Arabidopsis thaliana: one gene and its partner. The protein of the gene in region 2 interacts with the protein of the main gene of each other region in a pairwise test. Each region holds a gene or a part of one and is shown on either strand. Other genes may lie near its edges. The genes, in order: AT3G23690 and LBD21.

Region 1 (3,928 bases), 5.1 Mb from region 2:
GCATTAGCATTAAACTCCATCCTTGGATTTACGGTAGCCAGCTTCATGGACAAGAACTAAAGAAACAAACCACGAGTTTTAGATTCAAGATATACAAACTCCAACTTTCAAGAACATTTATGAAATACACAATTCATACCTCAACTTGTCTCTGCAAGGACTGCACATAATTTATAATTTCATCAAGCATGACTGCTTTCCCTGTAATCCGGTTGCAACCAGGAACCAGATCCTGAAGCAACGTCATTCTCTCACTAATCTTTTCTCTTCTTGCCTGAAACCAAAACACAGCCAAAAAAAACATCAACATCATAAACATCAAAACAGCCCCTAATCAACAAAAAAACAGATCAGTTTTAGAAGGTGTGTAGTACTCTTTCAGCAAGACTATGGCTATCAGTTGCTTGACCCCTTCTAGCTCTGACATGAATATAATCTTTAGGCGCCTCAGGAGGCTTAGCATCGTCCTTATTGTCGCCTTTACTATCGCACTTCTCTACTCCGTTTTTACTACTCCCAGCTACATCTTGCTTGCTTCTCTTCCCACCTTTAGATCCACCATTCTCTCCTGAAACCTAATCATATATCCAAAACCAAACACAACTAAAAAACCTTGTACACACACTAAAAGGTCTATAGATAAAAAGTCTCCACAAAACACAAACTTTCTTACACATATGGCTACAGTTTCCTAAAGTATACATTTTTGAAATAGAGCAAGAGAGATAATGAATCAAAACCTTTGAATTGGAAGCTGTAAGAGACGATGAAGCTGGAGACTCCTTGCCATTACCACTAGGAATCGACTTCCTCTTTCTAGAGTTAGATTTCGTGGTGTGAACTCGATCCGAAACTGAATCTGGATCCAACAAAGAGCTCTTGTTACTCTCCTGCGTTGTTGGTTGTGACCCAAATTCACGATCGGATCCAAATTGACCTGGATATGGAGGGAATCTGATTCCACCAGAGATTGGGAAATTCTCGGAGATCTGAGAATTCAGAGAGAAGGATTGTAGAGTTAACGGTGAAATCTCCTGAGGGTTGTTGCAGTATCTTCCAAGGAAATCTCCAATTGTTCCTTCATTGCCATTGCCAAAGGGATCGCTCTGACCCAAAGGTAAGTAATTTAGGGTTTGCTCTGTTTCCTTGTCCATGTTCATCTAAAAAGACTAGAACTTTTATGAACAAAAAAGTGAAAAATTCAATTCCAACAACTTCTCTGGGAATTCTGAAGAAAACCCAGAATCTGAATCAGAAAGCAAGATTGAAATTGAGTGAAAACAACCAAATTTGAGAAGTAAAAAGACAAACTTTATGTGTGTTTCTTCAAAAACAAAACAAGTGATGATTTTTTAACTTCAATGTAAGCAAAAAAAGAGCTTCTTTCAATTATGGGTTTAGTGGAGAAGAAGATCTAATGAGGGAAATGAGTCAGGAAGAGAGAACTAGAAATGAAGAAGCATGATTGATCAATTAGGGGAAAGAGGAAAGAGAAGAAGAAGGCGGTGACTTTTTTTACTGATCAAAGGAAGAAGAAGAAGAAGGTTTAAGAGAAAATGACAAAATAAAAAAGAGAAAGTAATGATAAGAAAGATTAAGAAATTAAAAAAGAGTGAATTTTACAGTTCAAAAGGAGAAGAATCTTACGTGTGTTTTATGTTAATGTGGGAACATTAGATGGTGAAAGTGGGTAGGCTGCTTAGGCTGGCCTCTGTAATCATTGGAGTGAGAATAAGAGAGAAGAAAGAGAGAGAGAGAGAGAGCATGTGCATGGCAGAGACAGGAAAGTTGTGGGAGAGAAAACAAACAAAAGGATAAAATTGTTTTTAATTATCATGTTTGATTATTCTTGGTTAAGAGACTATTTTAAAAGATGATGGTACTTACCAAAACATGGTGTCAAAAAAGTCAATTATTGACTTGAGAAGGTTTTAGACTTGAATTTGATGTATTATGAGTTGTTTATGTTAATGAAGTTTATAATGTGTAACTAAAAACATTGAGTATACACATATATTTTCATAGGTTTGTGTTATGTGTGACATATAATGATGATACAAATGAATTTGCATTTTTGCCTTTTAAGAATATTTCTGAAGTAGTCTCTGCTCCACTTGAAGTTACATTGGCAAGAGTTTGAGATGCATAGAGCTGAATATAGTGGCTGAGTATCAAAAGTCTTTTTTCGGGTTCTTAGGGGACGCGTTCTAGTACATGCTGAAGCGCTTTCTTGATTCCTCCTTGTTCCAGAGACGTTGTCAAGTGTATCTCTTGCACCTGTAATGTTAATATTTTACTTAAAATCAAACCAAGAATCTCTCTATCTATGGCCATATAAATGGGTAGCTTCTGAGATTTACCTGTCTTCCAGCACGGGCAAGAAGAACAAACTTCCCATCAGAAGGCGGTGTCTGCGTGTGAACATGCGCATAGAATCAGAATTTTCACAGAGCAGAGTTTATTCTTACGGGAAAGTAAAGAGAAACAGAACTCACATTTGAGAGCCAAAGTTGTAGGTCTTGTGAAACCACTCTTTTCTCAAATCCTTGCCGGTTGATTTTCACAGCTTCTATTCTGCAATATAGAAATGAATATTAGTTACACACTGGAACCAAAATGTTATGCCTGAAACATAGATTCTATAAGTAATGCAATTAACAATATCCAACTCATCATGGGTTCAGAAAAAGTATCAGCCAGCAATAGCTATTGACATGTATATATTCAATCGCAAATCGAGGAGTGAACAAATCTAGTAGAGTAGAGGTGATCCTAGTCACTTATAATAAGCAGATATTATGCAAAGAGCTGACTAGGACTGCATAGTAAATTTAAATTATAAAATGATATTGTCTATATACCCATCTTCCTTTAAAAGCTCTTCAAGTATTGTTTCTAGCCCTGGAAGAGGTTCAATTGTATCCCCATTGTTCGAGCTTAGCGAAGGAGATCCAGTAGAACTGTCCTGTAACAATATTCAATTATCTATTAAAAATCACTAAGACCCACAAGAGACAGAAAACACATTCATTCACATTGTTTTACCTTCAAAATCACTTTGTCTAATGTTTCTAGAAGAGGATCATCTTCTAGTTGTTTGATGGATAGTGTAATCCTTGATTTCTCTCTGCATTGGAACAACTTTTGATTAAAAACTATATCATGAGTCATGGCTAATAAATTTCAGTAACCAAAATAAGCAACTCACTTGTCAATATTCGTGACTATAACCCGAACCTCGTCACCATCGCGTAGTACATCCCTAACATCTTGAACGTAATCCCATGATACTTCGGAGACATGCACTAGTCCAGTTAAATGATAAAGACCTATACACCACCACCCCACATAACTGACATCAATGTCATAAGCTCAAAACAAGAAAAAGAAACCAAGAAATTTAGGTAAAAGCAAATATACCATCATCAAAACGCAAGTGGATAAAGGCACCATAGTCCTCAACAGAACCTACTCTTCCGTTAAACACATCCCCAACATTAACGTTTTGTGAATACTTTGGCCATAATGCTAACTTCTCAGATAAAATCAACTTTCTATTTTCCTCATCAGCTTGAACAACCTAATATAAAGATTTACCTCAAATTATAAACAATATAGAGATCACAAAACAAGCCAAAGGAGAAAACTTTACCTTTACAGGAAGTTTAGAACCAACCAAAGTCTTAGCTATCTCATGAATACTTTTCTGAGGCTCTTCATAAAGCAAAACACAAACCATCGATCAATGTAAAAATCGATACTTTAAGGACATAAACATAGAACCTTGTGAAGAAGAGAGAGTTTTGGTTACCTTTACAAGAACGGGAAGGACTTAATTGTGGATAAGGAAGAAAACCCACAAGAGAATGAAAACGAATAAGTAAGCCACCACCATTAAAGCCTTGAACTTCACCTTCAAATGTATCAC
Region 2 (3,544 bases):
TCACAACAGAATGAAACGACAGAAACAGAGGAAGAAGACGAAGAAGAGATAAGCTGGATAGCAGCCGCAATAGGATTCATACCTGGAATTGTCTTTGGATTAACGATTGGATACATATTGGTTTCCTACAAACCAGAGTGGTTCATGAACCCTTTTGGCCGAAACAATCGTCGACGCAGAAACACCACCACCCACTAGAGAGGTAATGTTCCGACTTTTGAACGAGTTTGGTAGCTTTCCATCAGAATGAATTTTATTTCTGTTTTAACAACTTATTTTCGTTGTTATAGGCTTATAACCTATCTGAATAATCTGGAAGAGGAAAGTCAAAGTAACCGGACGAACTCCTTGACGTTAACCAACCACTCTTTTAGCCATTTTCAAATCCAGATTGTTTCCGGTTTAGCTTGTGTTTTTCTCTTCTACTCTGTTTTTAGCCAACTTTGTAATTGAACAACTCTGTTTTTCGCTCTTTAGATGTACATGTAAAGTTGTTTTTTCCCGCGAGTTTGTTGTTATCATTTCTTTCCCCATTGCACTCTCGTATCTAAAAATGTATGTCTATTTGTTCGTATCAATTAAGACGCAGAAATACAGAGCAATTATAGAATTGGGGAATATTTGATCAAAAAGCCATTTTTACTGTATTTTGATAAACTAAACCTTATACATGGATATATTTGAAGTCAGTTGTGTCTGGTTCTTTATTAGACATTTATCTGCTATTTTGCAGCAGCAAGCTGTTTCATTCTCGACATTTTCAAGTAGTTTATACGAGAATGGAGAAGTGTGTTTTGATGATGAGTTTTTGGGTTTTTGGTAATGGCTTAAGGAAAGGGAGTGATTATATGCTAAGCTCTGTGAACTACTAGAAAAGTTTAGGTAAGCCTATGGGATTATAATCCATAGTGGAAAAGGAATGGAAAGCATTACATATTACGATTTAATTTATGAAATGACAAGATAAGAAGATTTAATTAAGTAAATGACAATTCTTTTTAAGTTGCTACTAGCAATTTCTTTAAACCATTACTTGTTTGTATATTTATACTCATTCACAAAGGTTAAGAGATAACAATATTATCGTTTTGTGTACTCATTATAAAGGTTAAAAGATTTAAGGTCCTTAAGATTTATGAATATTTGATTTAACAAAAGAAATTTTAAGTTTTGAGTTAAGTTTTTCTTGTTATTGGTATAAATTCACAACCAAAATGAATGATGAGTAGAAGAGGAAGCCAAAGAAAGAAGAGAAAATGGATAGTGAAGGGGACGGTGGTGATGGTGGTGGGCTTCTCATTCTCTCACTTTTCTTGTCAAATGTCTTGTCTTCTCCATTTCCACACTCCAATTTTTATATGCTACCTGTGATTTTATTTATTTTATTATTTGACTTTCTTTTGCTTAAGCTATGTATAATCTACAATAAGAACCACAAAAAGTGATATAAGCTCAGTTCTATATTGGTGCCCACTTTGTAAGAAATTTCCTCTTCAATTTGGAGCAAAGTGAAAGCTATTTTGTATTTTGCTTGATTGACTTGTTTCCACTAATCCAAAAGTCTTGCTTCTCTTGTTTCTTCTTCTATAAAAGAGAAAATTAGCTGATGTGTTGTTACTTTAACTCTCTCTATCTCTATAGTACCTTTGATTTTTCAATATATGATTATGATTTATGGACTCGAACTCACGACCAATCATGTAATTAGCAAGGAAAAGCTCAAAGCCAACACAAATGATGAATAGGCCCATGCCTTGTCCCATTTGTTTCCTTCTCTCTATTACTTTCAAAAACACTCTTCTTCACAAAAAGTTAAAAGACTCTTATCAATATATAAAGGAAGCACGAGATAAAACTTAGAAAAAACGAGAGCCTAACATTTACCACCAAAAAATCAAAACAAACAAACAAAAAGTTTGAGATGAGAGGGCATGAGCCACGATCAAGCTCATCTTGTGCAGCCTGCAAGCTCTTGAAGAGACGATGCACACCCACTTGCATTTTCGCTCCTTATTTCCGCTCAAGTGACTTGATAACTTTCGCCAAAGTCCATAAAGTCTTTGGAGCCAGCAACGTCAGTAAGCTTCTCGGTGAAGTTCCTGAAGAACAGAGACAAGAAACCGTTAACTCCTTGGCTTATGAAGCTGAGGTTCGTCTCAAGGATCCTGTTTACGGTTGCATTGGAGCCATAGCGTCTCTGCAGAAGAAGATGCTCGAGCTTCAACACGATCTAGCTGTTGCTCGCACTCGACTACTTGCCCATTCTGGGGTCAACAACAGCCAAGTGTCCCCTTTGGATGATTCTCCTGAGCTTGCTGCTTTTCTTGATCTTGTACCTTATAGTGACTTGATGTTGCTTGATGGGTCTACTAATCTTGATGCTTACTTGTATGATCTTGGACAGCCTCCTTTTGTATAGGCCTTATCTCTCTATCATATATCTCTTTATCAGCTGTATTTGCACTTTGCTTTACAAGTTATCTTTGACAATCTAAAGTCTGTCCCTAATGTATGAATTCCAGTATGCATAATCAGATGCTTACTTCATCATATGTATGAAAAAGGGTTTTAACTTCAAAAGTAACCATCACATGCGATGAGATAACTCAGGTACAAGATGAGCCTTGGAAGGTCAGAGTCCTTACCAGTTTTGGACCAAGTGGTAGGCCAAGGTGAGTAAAGTGAGGTGTTTTAGATGAAGAGCTTCTTTGTAAGTCAGGTATGAATAGGAGAGCACATGCTTATGTCATCCCGAAATTCTACCAAACATGAAACATTGATATATATGCTTCTATGATGTTCTTTTTTGAGGCTCCAATAATACAGCCTCATGTGTCAACTCGTCTCCCTCAGGCCACAAGAGTCTTGTCCTGGAGATTCCAGAGTGCAGCAAAGTCACATAAGCAAACATCCAAATCAATAGCTTGGTGGGTTTGATCAAATTCCAAACTGAATTATGAATGACTCTGATAAGAGTTCTCCTCAGAACCGTTCTACGCATCTTGTTAAGTCTGTACACATTCCTGAAACCTGCCTAAGCAAAAGAGTAATTGCAGATCACAGAAAGAGAGATGAGCACAATTTGGAACTGCAGACACTGATACACAAACCATCATACATTGATACTTCACAAAAGTACATCTTGATATGTCAGATACTATGAGAGTTCTTTTGGTAATTCGCATTGCTACTACCAATGTAACTCTACAATGCTAAAAAAGAGAATGAAAAAGAAGAAGAAGAAAAAAAGCATCGCGCTATAACTTAAGAAAACCTAAAGATCAATAATAATAACATCTTCTCCAAATCGTATGAGCTTTAGATCCAACCATTGCTCCTTGCTTCACATCAGTAACTCCTCCACAATCTACAATCCTACAACTTCTTACCTATACAACAAACAAAGCACAACTGAAGTTTCAGTAAACTCATCAATCACAACAAAACACACATAAAAATGAAAACTTTACCTGAAGCAGCTCTTCGTTTCCCAAGTTTAGATTTCTCAAGCTCCAATTGCATCTCCATCAACATATTCATTCGT

Evidence for each region.
Region 1: the proteins of LBD21 (region 2) and AT3G23690 interact in a two-hybrid assay, tested with the Arabidopsis thaliana proteins (one large-scale study listed by BioGRID).

The regions. Positions count from the first base shown.
Region 1 is NC_003074.8:8,529,496-8,533,423, forward strand, and holds the start of AT3G23690 (basic helix-loop-helix (bHLH) DNA-binding superfamily protein), read right to left. Parts: upstream 1,864-3,928; 5' UTR 1,161-1,863; coding exon 741-1,160; intron 576-740; coding exon 375-575; intron 275-374; coding exon 140-274; intron 57-139; coding exon 1-56. Other genes in the region: AT3G23700 (Nucleic acid-binding proteins superfamily), read right to left, coding at 2,194-2,277, 2,361-2,411, 2,496-2,574, 2,862-2,965, 3,046-3,127, 3,209-3,329, 3,421-3,580, 3,653-3,714 and 1 more.
Region 2 is NC_003074.8:3,473,115-3,476,658, forward strand, and holds LBD21 (LOB domain-containing protein 21), read left to right. Parts: upstream 1-1,807; 5' UTR 1,808-1,921; coding exon 1,922-2,419; 3' UTR 2,420-2,734; downstream 2,735-3,544. Other genes in the region: RLP35 (receptor like protein 35), read left to right, coding at 1-198; AT3G11100 (sequence-specific DNA binding transcription factor), read right to left, coding at 3,376-3,389, 3,471-3,544.